Regions from separate parts of the Mus musculus genome. Here all the other regions are reported to be linked to region 2. The links are microRNA targets in miRTarBase. Many come from high-throughput screens and were not tested one by one. Region 2 holds a microRNA gene; each other region holds the end of a gene's coding sequence.

Region 1 (4,892 bases), not on the chromosome of region 2:
ACTTGCATCTTAAACCACACAGGCCAAGCATAGAGTGACCTGGGAATGGAGGAAGGGCTTGAGTTCCCAAAGTCCGCCTCCAGTGACTCACTTCCTCCACCAAGGCCACGCCTCCCAAACCTCCCTGCGAGCACCACCAATTGAAAAAACCAAAGAAGCGGCCTGTTCAGAGCACTACACTCTGGAGGACCTCCCGCTTCGGAGATCTACAGAGATTTTTTTTTTTCCACACGTGGTCTATTTATGGGCTCCAGGAACCAGGACACAGACATACACAGACCCAGGTTTCTGGAGCCACCTTTCAACCTTCCGTTCGACCCACAGCACCATCTCCTCCTTATTCATCTGCCGATCTCCCGGTCCCTCTTTTCGGTTCATCAGGTCTGAGTCCCTGTAGATAAAGACAAGGTGCCTGGATCCACAAGGTGGAATTCCAATATCAGACACACATCAAGAAGCCGATGACCCTGCTGGCAAACGCTGCCAGCAAGAGTGGGAGCAGCTAGCTCACCCCAGAAAGGCAAGAATTATAAAGCACCTGTGCAGGCGCATATATGAATAAAGCCAGCAAATCTGTAAATGTGTGCCTATGTATGCATTTCCTTTCGTAACATCTGACCTGTACAGCTCCTGATGAGTCTGCCCCCCCAAAAAATACTGAGATAAATCGAAATAATTTACATTTATCTTCCGATTTCTTTAACTTGAAAGGGTTTAACCAAGTTTTAATATCGTTTTCAAGCTGGATATTAAAGAAGAGATTGAAGATGAAGAGAAGACGATTGAAGATTACACGGATGAGAAGATGAGCGATGCGGACCCTGCTTCGGTGGAAGCAATGTACTCTGCTGCTAGCCAGTGTCTGCATGAGAAGAAAAACAGACGGCCAGACATTGCAAAGGTATTCACTTCCGAGTCCATCTACACAGCGAGGGGTGTGGTGCCTTATCCTTTACTAAGTATCCATTTCAAGACATCGGCTTAACCTGGTTCTTTTGATCTCTTTCTTTTTGAAAGGTTCAACAGCTGCTACAAGAGATGTCTGCTTAAAACTAATAAACTTTTTTTTTTTTTTTTTTACTTCTCGAGAACCTGGAGACCGGAAAAGCACTTTGACACTGAGCTGCGTCACCTACCTGTTGTTTGCATTTGTTTTTGTTTTCCTAAATGCGCTTTATGTTTAACATGGTAGCATAGTGCAATGTACCAATGTACTGGTTAGTTAGTTAATAGACGAGTTGGCACCGCAGCCAAAGTGATAGTTGCATGGTAGCACTTGGCCCCGCCCACCTAGTATGGGGCTCATGTTCCACAGCAACATCACCAAACTATAGTGAACTTAAGATTCAGGAAAACAGCACTGTGCTATACAGAGACAATAGGATTATTTGGGGCGGGGGGAGTGAGACACGGTGTCTCTGTGTAGCCCTGGATGTCCTGGAACTTGCTCTGTAGACCAGGCTGGCCTTGAACTCAGCAATCTGCCTGTCTCTGCCTACTGCGTGTTGGGATTAAAGGTGTGTGCCACTCCTGTAAAGCTTTGGACCAGCTCTTAGCTGCCTTAAGCCTTAGTGCTGGCTTTTGGTTTTTGATAGGAACTTCATGCTCCTGTAAATAGCTCCTCACCTAGGTTCCTGTAAGGAACCTCTCTCCACTGCTCCTGTAACCCTAACTAAACTCATTGGTTCAACAATGTAGACATGAGTGGAATCTATTCTTCTGTCTGTTATTGTGGTCCTATTTTGAATGAATAGATGTTTGCTTGTCATCCCTCCCCCCCCACCCCAATTCACATACATGGTACTATACGTGGGGTATAACAGAACCAATAGTGAGTTTGGAGGGTGTGTGTGTGTGTGCTTGTATTGTCTCTGCAATGGGCAATAAAACATGTAACTGAGGCCAAGCTGTCTGAGGGGGGAGCATTTAAGGGGGCAATTCCGACACCACCCTTTCCCTTATGGTAGACATGGTAGGCCCCCTTGCTGTATATTGATTGTACTGCTCCCGCTGAAGTAAAAAGACATATAACTTCCACAGGCCTGCTCCATCTGCATGAGTCTCTGTAAAGAAAGTTCTGGAGAGGCCATTTTCCTCTATCAATGGACAAAGGAATGCCTCTATAATGAATGGAATCAGCCATTCCGTACTACAGTTCTTGAAGGTAGCACATATGAGATGGGGTCATAAGCACCCTGTGGCATCACTAAGACTTGCCACTAGAGCTGAGCTGTCTCTTCAGCCTGCCTGTTTAAGCAGAGAATTACAAGATGCAGATGCTATGTATCCTCTGAACTGGCAGGTAAAATGAAAGAAAGAAAGAAAGAAAGAAAGAAAGAAAGAAAGAAAGAAAGAAAGAAAGAAAGGAAACCAGAGACAAGTTTGGTCACAATGCTTGGGAGGCAGGTCCAGGCAGATCTCTGTGAATTTGAGGCCAGCTAGGGCTACAAAGTATCTCCCTCTCACCCTAGCTCTCTCACTTTCTCGCTCTCTCTCCCTCTCTCAAAAAAAAAGTGGAGTGGCAATGCAGTATGATAAAAATCTCTTACATTAAAGAAAGACTGGGGATTTTGCTGGACCTCACAGCAAGTTAAATATGTACATTGAGGTCACTTAAGACTGATGTCCTACTGTGTGATCAGTCTGTCTGTTTAACCTGCCTTCAAGAGAACAATGTGGTTATCAACCTTACTTGCCTCGGATTCCCAACCAAAGCTAGCGAGCAGCTCTAATCTTTTCTCTGTTCTCCCATGCCCCTGACTCTAGAGTAATGCGTGTGTGCTTTTCGCGTGTTACAATAATCATTTGCTGAAAACAGCAAATATAGGTTAAAAGCAATCTTATACAATGAACATCGGCAGCCACTGAAGTCAACACATGGATATTGCTCAATAAACAGTGATATGTGTAAAGCTGTTTGATATCTGAGTCAGCTGGGATCCATTGGAGTCAGTAACTTAATCCGTTGTAAAACTCTGTTAATGATTTCTGGAAGGTGTTCCTCATCCCTTCCCCCATGTGATGATTTCCACGTTTTTCAGCCTTTGCTAGGTATAGCCACACGGGCACACATAGATATACAGACCTAGGGCAGGATGATAGCATTTAAGCAGACACCGATCCAGACTCATACAACAGGATGATGGAAGAGGCAAGGCAGCAGATAGAGAACTCACCTCTGGGCTCACTGTCGGTTCAAGGACACCAAAGGGAAGTGCTTGTGTTGATTTCTGTCCTTCATGCAATACCAACACGTTATTGACAACTGAGTTTATTATTAGTGCATTCTACTCTACACAAGATGGACACGCTAGCTTGTCATTTCCTATGTCTCGGAGTAGAAGACTTAAAGAAAGTAAAAATTATGTGTATGCTAAAGTCCTCCATGGGATCCCCAATATTGGAACTGACAGGGAGAACTTGACATAGAGGAGGAGGAGGAGGAGGAGGAGGGAGCAATGGAAGATATCCCTCAGGCACAGTCCTTAAACAAACATCCAGGTTGCATGGGGACCTTAAGAATGACCCAGCATGTGGAGAGCCGTGCTGCGAGCAATTGCGTGCTTGCCTGCCAGTAATCGCTGTGGAGAGCCTTGCAAGCCGCGAGCAATCGCCATTATAAGATGGTGCTGGCCTCCGCTGTGCCTAACTAGTAAACAAGCCTTGTACGCAGGTGCGAGAGTGAACTCACTCCTAGTCACTCCCATTTTCGGGGTGTAATAGTGGGGTGATGGGCGAGCAACGAATCAGGAGCTGTCACGCCATATCAGGTGCTGAAACGTCACGCTGCGGGCTATAAAAGCGGCGCCATTTTCCCAGTTCGGGGTCTTCCTGAAGAAGTAAGCAATAAAGCTTTTGCCGCGGAAGATTCCCGTTTGTTGCGTCTTTCTTGCCGGTCGAGTGGGAAGCAATACCAGCATAATAATGCTATATTGTGCCACTAAACTCCATGAAGTGGGAGATACTTTTAAATGAGAAATCAGCCACAGCCTCACTCATGAAACTGTAGGACAGGGATACAAATGGAATCAGCCCGATGTTGTGGAAGCACAGAAACTAATAACCCTCCACCCCTGCTTATGACAAAAGTTATAAACTCTGACACAGTGTGAGGGAAATCAGTCTCTGATTGGTGGCTCACGGGAACTATCACGGATTCGTAGTTTTCTCCAGCTGAGGGTCCCCTGACTACTACGGACTAAGGACAGTAGAGGAAGGATAGACGTTATGGAGACAATCAGGCATGAGAGGGGCAGTGTTGCATGCCTTGTTCATTGCACCAGATAGGACTGGGAGAGTTAAGAAAGGATGACTCAGTGGTTACCTTGGGACTAGTACAGGTTCTGTTGTAACCCCCGAATTACTGATGCAAACTCTCTGCGAATAATCGTCCCGTTTCTTAACAGTCTCACCCAAGAGACTTCAGTGTTGTGTACAGACACTTCGCCTCTGCGTCTTCTCCCACAGACGCTCCTATCTTCCCACAAGCTCAGGGCAAGCACAATTTCAGACAGCTGATTTTTGTGCTGTGTCCTCCTGCAGCAAGCCCAGGGCTCCCTCCCCCACCCTGGCCAGTCAGAGTGAACTCAGCCTAGCATTAGAATGTCACTACCCATAAAACTCCCCCTTAATAGAGACATACCCGAGGAGCCAAATGCTATCTCAAGATATCCTCCCCACCTCTGCATCTCCAAAGACCAGAACTCTTCCTGATAAACAGCCAAACTTAAAGTCCTTGACACCTTAAAGAAATAACAAACTCGAAGGAGATTAGGGCCCTGAGTTTAAATCATAAGAGAAAAGGAAATCAGAGATCACAGACAATTATGACCGGCCATAAAATTATTTCTTGATTATCCAACAGCAGACATCAATTAATCCTCCTCCCAGCT
Region 2 (3,000 bases):
TTCATACCATGATTTATTACAGGAGTTGCTCCCCAAAAATGTTACTCATAGCTGGATTGAGAGAGTATTTGGGAAATGTGGCAATGTGGTTTACATAAGTATTCCACATTACAAGTCTACTGGGGATCCTAAGGGATTTGCCTTTGTGGAATTTGAAACAAAAGAGCAAGCAGCAAAAGCCATTGAGGTACGTACTTCTGTGGGACCCTGAAAAGTAAAGAAAAAGCACAGGGTTAACAAGAGTAACAAATTCTGCAATCAATCTTTTCAGTTTCTGAACAACCCACCAGAAGAAGCACCTAGAAAGCCTGGTATATTTCCCAAGACAGTGAAAAACAAGCCCATCCCTTCCTTACGAGTAGCAGGTGAGTGCTTACTTAGAGTGGCCAAGTAAACAATAAACTATTATGACTGTAAATAATAAAATCTTGTTACAGAAGAGAAGAAAAAGAAGAAAAAGAAAAAAGGCAGAATAAAGAAGGAAGAGAGTGTGCAGGCCAAAGAGTCGGCCGTGGACAGCAGCAGCTCGGGCGTGTGTAAAGCCACGAAGAGACCAAGGACGGCCTCTGAGGGCTCCGAAGCAGAAACCCCGGAAGCTCCAAAGCAACCTGCAAAGAAAAAGAAGAAGCGGGACAAGGTGGAAGCATCCAGCTTACCTGAAGCCAGGGCAGGGAAGAGGGAGAGGTGCAGCGCCGAGGACGAAGACTGCCTCCCCCCAAGGCCAAAAGCTAAGAAAAGGGCTCAGAAGGATGGCGTCGGCCAAGCAGCTTCCGAGGTCTCCAAGGAGAGCAGAGGTACCGTGGCAGTAGGGTTACAAATGTTTTAACCAGTTTAACCACAACAACGGACTTACGGAAATCTTTTTTCTAGACTTAGAATTCTGCTCTACTGAGGAGGAGAAGGAGACAGACAGAAAAGGTGACTCACTCTCAAAGGTGAAGAGGAAGCATAAGAAGAAACACAAGGAGAGACATAAGATGGGCGAGGAGGTTATACCATTGAGAGTGCTGTCCAAGTAAGTGGCCACTGACACAGGTCCATCACCATTGCTAAAGTGCAATTCCAATTTCTATTCAACAGAGTTGCATGTTAGCAACAGTGACGGCCTTGGTCTATCTATATGCAGCACAATGAAGATTAAGTAGGAGCCACCACACTCAAACATGGAAGCACTTATTTTTAAATGCACAGCAAGTGCCTCCATGTTAAAGTAAAGGAGGCCCCTTAAGCAGACTTGAGTGGTCTTTACAAAGGCATGAATATAAAGGAAAACATACCATCACCAAAACATGGAAGCACTTACTTTCTTAGGTCTAAAGCAAGTACAACCACGTTTAAGTGGTGGGAAGCCCAGTCAATAACTCCCTTAACCTACAGCATCTTAGAGAAAATGTTGAACAGTTTAAGACACCCCCACTGAAACATGGAAGCACTTGCTTTTGTTTAACACAGCAGGTAACCCCATGTTAAAGCAGAGGGGACTCCCATCAGACTCTGAATTAAAAGGCTAGCTTTCTTATTCCAGAGTTTCTTGAATTCACTTCTACTAAAACATGGAAGCACTTACTCTTCGATGAGACAGAAAGCATTCCCATGTTAAAGTTGAAGGGAACCCACCCACAAGGCAACTAGTTAAAACAGAAGAGCAAACCCACAGGAAAGTAAAGTGACCCGGTTACAGACATAAGCTTTACCTCCTTTACCTTCGTGACCGCCTCCCAAAGAGTCCTGTTCTGTCCTCGGAGGGTGAAAGACGCCGACTTTAGACCACTTGTATTTATACTACTCCTAACTCCTGAGTTCCTTTTGGCTTTCTATCTCTGAGAATCATTACAAGACCCTTTGTTATTTTAATGTATCAGCTCTGGGGAAAGTAGGTCCTGGGGACCTGGGTAGGTCTGGATTTTTTTTTTTTTTTTCCTTTTTTGAAGTAAACAGATGTCAATGTTAACTGCTAAAACCATTACCACAAGATATCCTCCTCTTTAAAAAAAATCTCCTATCTGCCCGTTTGATGGCACAGATTAGGGTAACAATGAGCGCTCCCACAGAGCCAGGAGATGCATTGTGCTTCTCTGGAGGAGCCCTAGCTGTTTGAAGATACATCTACATGTTAAATGTATGTAAATAAATAAATTGCTTCCATGGGGTGTTTTTTTCTTCTTAGAAATTCCTTTTGATTCAAGTAAATCCTAAGGAATGTTAGCTCTCAAATTGGAAGCAATTTGAGAAATCTTTAAGTTTTAGTCTCTTACTTTTTCTCCAGGTTGCCTGATTTAGTGATTTTACTTAATAGAAGTGACTCAAAAGTGATTTTACAATTAAATATTAGAAGCAACCAGGAAACTCAAGCATTTTCCTTGCCTGTTAAGACAAAGAAACTTCCTTTGTGTGTTTGCTAGGTAGCTTTAACAAATGGCTTAACAAATAATGTAAACATATGCCTTAAAAGAAAGAAAAGTCAGAAAGACTTGCAGTTCCTATGAACATTGTGTTTAGATCAACTTCAGATTTCTAGTTGGGTCGTCTTATCACTGTAATGGCTCAATTTTTGTTTTTCAGGACTGAATGGATGGATTTGAAGAAAGAGTATTTGGCACTGCAAAAAGCTAGCATGGCTTCTCTAAAAAAAACAATATCTCAAATCAAATTGGAATCAGAAATGGAAACAGACTGTAAAGCGCCTAGTAAGTGTGCAGTGGGGAACGGAGAGGGTGACGCTCATGTAATGGAAGAGTGGGCTTTAGTCTATGAATGGTTTCAGGGGCAGTTTTATTGCAGTGATAGAGTGGCTTCCTCAGTTTTAAGCTGAACCATTTCCAAAAACAAAATGTTTTAAGAAAAGTAAAAATGTGAAGTTTTGTATTACACACTAGGTTTTAATAGTCTGTTTATTCTTCTCTACTTACCTGCGAGCTCACTTGTGAGTGCCTGGAGAGAGAAATAAAGACTGCAGGCTTAGTGGATGATGTTCAGCAAGCAGGAGCATATTAGAGCACT
Region 3 (4,892 bases), not on the chromosome of region 2:
TGTAATTCCAGCTCCAGCTCCAGGAGTTATGATGTGCTATTCTGACCTTAGCAACACACACACATACACACACACACACACTACACACGCATACACACAACGCACACGTGATGAAAACTTAAAAAGCAAAAAAAAAAAAAAAAAAAAAAATGTACTCTCAGCCTGACTTTATGGTCCATGTCTTTAATCCCAGGACCGGGGAGACAGATCTCTGTGAATTCAAGGACAGCCTTGACTACATTGAGTTTTAAGATATCTAGAACTCCATAGTAAGGCCCCATGTTGGAAAGAGGAAGGAAGGAAGGAAGGAAGGAAGGAAGGAAGGAAGGAAGGAAGGAAGCCAGGCAGGCAGGCAGGCAGTCTGTCCTTTTACCATGACTTGAGTACTGGGACACAGGATGGCACTATTGCCCAGCCCTGAAGTTCACAAAGGGAAGCACTGGTCCGTAGTGAAAGTGGAGCCTAGACTTAGCGCTCTTCCTTCTTTATCCTCATTCCCTCTCCATCCCTTTCTCCTGAGCACAAAGGTACTGGCTCTCAGGATTTTCTGGAGGTTTCTAAGTAACACGTGGAAACAATCTACAGAGTGTCATGTTCGGCGCACACAGAAGTTGTTGGCCATGTTCTACCTGTGCAGCCAGGCTCACCAATGCTGAGCCATTATACCAGTGGACAGATGAAAAAAAAATGTCCCGGCAATGTAGCATGACCACAGAGATACCAGGGCCTTCGGACAGAGCTGTGCCTTTCTTAGGGTCTCCTAGCAGAACTCCTCTCAACATTCAGGTGACAGGCCAAACATCTTCTCTTGAGACGCCCTGTCTGACATTTCCTCAAGAGGCCCTCTTGGGGATGCCCTGCCTTGTGCCCAGCTTGGATTTTTCTATTGTTTTTTTTTTGCCTCATTCCTGAAACTCTCAATGAAATGGCCTTGTGAGTGTAATTAATTGATGATTTATCGCCAAGCCCCATAGACTCTTGAGATAGTTTTGTCTCCCTGATTGCTGCCCTTGGCCTCATGACAGTGAATGAGTTAATGGACGCTGGGTGGCCAACCTGTGTGCCGGATCTCTCCCCAGCCCCTGCCGGGACCATGCTATGATGTGTCTCTGTCTCCTCCCTTTGCAGTGAGTATGGAGTTCGGAAGGGCTGTATGGCTCCGTTTCCACCCATCGGCTTATCCCCCGTGCCCCCACCCAAGCTTTGTGGCACACTTGGGTGGCGTGGCCGTGGGCATCACCCTGGGCGTGGTGGTTCTCAGAAATTACGAGCAGAGGCTGCAGGACCAGTCGCTGTGGTGGATCTTTGTGACCATGTACACCATCTTCGTGCTGTTTGCTGTCTTCTGGAACATCTTTGCCTACACACTGCTGGACTTGAAGCTGCCACCCGCCCCCTAAGGGACCAGAGGTCCAAGGCAGGGCGGGGAAACAGAAGCATCCCGAGAAAGTACCTGCATCTGCTTCTCATCTCCAATTCAGTGAAAGCAGGGAGAACCGGAGACTGTTGGAGCTGGGGGGTGCGTGTTGCTTTGAAAGGATGGTGGGGAGATGGATGTGGCTGCTGTCATCTTTCTAGGCTGGTCTGATGATATGGAGTCATGGGTAAGGTCTGAGGCAGGGTAAGAGTGGCTGTCCCTGTGGCTTGGGCTTGTCCCATGCATTCCCTCTCACTGCCACAGAGTGAGCAAATAGCCCTCTTCCCTAGTCTCCACCTGGAGAGACACAGAGAAGTTCTGAGGATAGCCACAGCCAGGCTTGCCACGGCCCAGAGGTGACTGTAGGCTAGGCCACATTCTCTTTGCAGCTCAAGGTCTGGTGCTCTGGCAATGGATGTGATGGCTTTGATCCGGGGGAGCCCAGAGCAAGCCAGGCTCCAGTCCTGTCAGTGGTGCTATGGCATTGCTCCTAGGGCTGGGCAGGGAGATGCTATAAGCTCCAGGCCTTTTTCTTGCCCTAGGGGAGGGCCCTGTGCTGAGGTAATGACTTTCTTCATCCCAGGTTCCCCCAAGAGAGTTCCAGGACGGTTTCTTCTTCCTGCCTGTAGTCACGAGTCAGCATTCCAGACCATCGCTCTGCATCCATGCCCTATCTGGACTGTGGGGTCTCTTCTTTCCTTTCTACTGCCCTGACCCTACTTTGTGCCTCTCTCTTTGGGTGTGGAGACAGGGTTTTGTGTGTGTGTGTGTGTGTGTGTGTGTGTGTGTGTGTGTGTGTGCAATGTCAGGCAAGTCAGAAGCTGCAGAGGGAAGAAGTGGGAGACAATGTACACAAGAGGATATCTACAGGGGATTTCTGGAATGGGTAGCAGCAGTGTGCTCTCCAGTGCTCGCTCAGTGGCCTTGCCTTTAGCATCATGCACCCCCTTTCCCATCTTGCCCTCCCAAACACCTGCTGAGCACCACTGACTGGTGGAAAAACTGTCGAGCTAGAGGGAAGACCAAAGCACTACCAGACATTTGAGAGAAAACTCTCAGCTGTATTCTTCTGGTTCTCTTGGGGGTAGCTTTTGTGTCTGTACTGCCGCCTGTAGAAGGAAGTCTTTGGGATGAAAGAAAGCCCAGGACAGTGATACTGTGGCCATCTCTCCATGTGAATTAGTGGGACAAGAAGCTGTAGTAAAATATATTTTGGTGGAAAACGTAGCCTCTGAGAAGAATTGGGGAAGCTTGGGTGAGGGAATGTCCCCAGTGAGAGCAGCTGAGGGTTAGATGGCTCCATCTACAGGGACTTGGAAGTACTCTTACAGGGAAGTGAGATTGGGGGGCGTGGCCTTGTGCTGTCCATACCCCAGCAGCCTGGGATGCCACATCAGGTGTTTGGCAAGGTAACTGTAGACTCAGAGCCCAGTGCCTCTGCTCCTCTGAGACAGTCTACTCAGGCTGGCACGAGACGCTTCTGGGGACCCTAAGTGGAGGCTGTGAGGCAGGTGACCTTTATAGGGACTTTCAGCCCCTGGGATAAGGAACCACAGGTCTGAGATTGGAGGGAGGCAGGAGGATGAGAACTGCTCCTGGTCCTCTCACCATCCCAGCAATACCTCCCAGCTCATCTCCATTCTCCTGAGTCCCTCAGCCCTTCCTCTCTCCAATGTGGCCACCCATCAGGGCTGGGAGTCACTCCTCATGCTGGAGGCTGTAGGTTGGCCTCAAAGGCTGGGGAATCCCCAAACAGCAGCTATGTAGACTAGCTTGCATTTAAAGGGGAGAAGACTCATGGAAACCAGACAAGGGAAAACGGGCTTTCAAAAAAAGAGGAATTTCTCTTTAATGATACCATTCATCACTTGATTTTTTTTTTTTTAATTAGGAGAAGCTCCCTAACCGGGCTCTTTAAATTCTGCATTTCCATGTGAACCATTCTTGCCTAGAGCATTAGTGGAGGCATCGCTCACCGAACCCAGATCTTCCTCTAGTGTCCAATTCAGTTTGCAGATAATGAGGTTTACCCAGTGCTGTGTGCTTCCCAGGGCTGGCTGCAAATCGTTGACTCTCCTCTGCCTTAAAAACAGTGCCCGTCAGTGAGCTGCCCTCCCAGGACTAAGTGAAAATCAAAACACTAGCCGCGACGTTGGTTTCTAGATATTTTTGTATTGTGTACATTCTGTATATTTTTGTTGTAACATATTATTTGAGCACAGATTCCATTAAAGATTTTTTTAAGCTGTTGGTTATTCAGGGAGTGACCTCAAGGGCTGCCATGCTACCTGCTTTGCCTGTGTCTGGTTCATGGTGGGTGGGGAGAGTGAAAACGGGCAGTGGTGGGTGGGTGGCTCTGGCACTGGTGGTTGGCACTGTCTTCCTTAACCTTCTCAGAGTGGTTGGTGAACACTGAAGGTTCTTTCCATGAAAACACACCCACTGGGCTGGAGAGATGGCTCAGCGGTTAAGAGAACCGACTGCTCTTCCTGAGTTCAAATCCCAGCAACCACATGGTGCCTCACAACCATCTGTAATGTGATCTGATGTCCTCTTCTAGTGTGTCTGAAGACAGCTACAATGTACTTACATATAATAAATAAATAAATCTTAAAAAAAAAAAAAAAAGAAAGAAAAGAAAAAAAGAAAACACCCACATAGGTCGCTTCCCGGACAGTTTTCGAGGTGGGTGCCAGCAGATAGAGAGGAGTCTCAGCCCCCTGTCCCCTCAGGCCTATTTTTCCCTTCCATTCATCTAGTTCTAAGTACCTCCCTCCAAGTCGCTCTAGGGATGGACAGTTGGCCACAGAATGAAGAAATGACAAATACGTGGATTCAAGAATGGAAAATCTGGGATTGAGTGGATGTGGATGGAGAAGCCCCAGCCCTGCCCCACGAGCTCAAAGTGTTTATATATACTGTTGGACAGGCAACTCAGGTTGTGGTATCCAGATGAACAGGAAGGCAAGTGTAGCTAACCTCGTAGACACAGTCTCTGTAGGGACGCAGTCTTCAGGCCATAAACATGTGGAGGGGCAAAATTACGGTAGACATTCTCTGCACACTATCTATATTCACACACAGACCAGAGGAAACCTTTCCCATCTCTCCAAGTCTCTTCCAGGGAAGGCATTGCTGCTCCTGTGGGGATGACACACTGGGGTCTTTGACATGGCCTTGTCTTTGTCAACAACACATCTACTCAGGAATATATATATATATATATATATGTATATATATATATATATATATATATATATATACACATACACATATATACATACATGTGTGTATATATATGTGTGCATGTATATATGGTATGTGTATATATCTTAATATACTATACATAATATTATTTATTATGTAAAATATATATTATGTATTATATATACCATACATTTTTAAGATTTATTTTATTTATATGAGTGCACTGTAGCTGTCTTCAGACACACCAGAAGAGGGCTTCAGATCCCTT

The links. Region 2 holds the annotated microRNA mmu-miR-367-3p (AAUUGCACUUUAGCAAUGGUGA, at 1,041-1,062, opposite strand). A microRNA usually pairs through its seed, bases 2 to 8, with sites in the 3' UTR of a target mRNA and lowers its output. Matches are read on the target gene's strand: a 7mer-m8 pairs with bases 2 to 8, a 7mer-A1 pairs with bases 2 to 7 and ends in A, and an 8mer does both.
Region 1: miRTarBase lists Irak4 as a target of mmu-miR-367-3p. Seed matches in the 3' UTR shown: 7mer-m8 at 1,197-1,203.
Region 3: the mRNA of Rhbdl3 is a reported target of mmu-miR-367-3p. Seed matches in the 3' UTR shown: 7mer-m8 at 2,215-2,221.

Annotation. Positions count from the first base shown.
Region 1 is chr15:94,565,997-94,570,888 of GRCm38, forward strand. It overlaps Irak4 (interleukin-1 receptor-associated kinase 4), which reads left to right. Exons shown (of 12, transcript NM_029926.5): 11 at 743-901; 12 at 1,018-2,321. The coding sequence ends at 1,050. Among named protein-coding and RNA genes, the nearest start is that of Twf1, 21 kb to the right of the region's middle.
Region 2 is chr3:127,543,841-127,546,840 of GRCm38, reverse strand. It overlaps Mir367 (microRNA 367), which reads right to left and starts at 1,108; the gene lies at 1,034-1,108. Larp7 (La ribonucleoprotein domain family, member 7) reads left to right here. Exons shown (of 13, transcript NM_138593.2): 5 at 23-187; 6 at 272-365; 7 at 438-794; 8 at 871-1,015; 9 at 2,563-2,687. It overlaps Gm51018 (predicted gene, 51018), which reads right to left and starts at 1,752. Exons shown (of 2, transcript NR_146435.1): 1 at 1,695-1,752; 2 at 1-207. It overlaps Mir302b (microRNA 302b), which reads right to left and starts at 1,613; the gene lies at 1,540-1,613. It also overlaps Mir302c, Mir302a and Mir302d.
Region 3 is chr11:80,352,284-80,357,175 of GRCm38, forward strand. Rhbdl3 (rhomboid like 3) reads left to right here. Exons shown (of 9, transcript NM_139228.3): 9 at 1,129-3,703. The coding sequence ends at 1,400. Among named protein-coding and RNA genes, the nearest start is that of 5730455P16Rik, 23 kb to the right of the region's middle.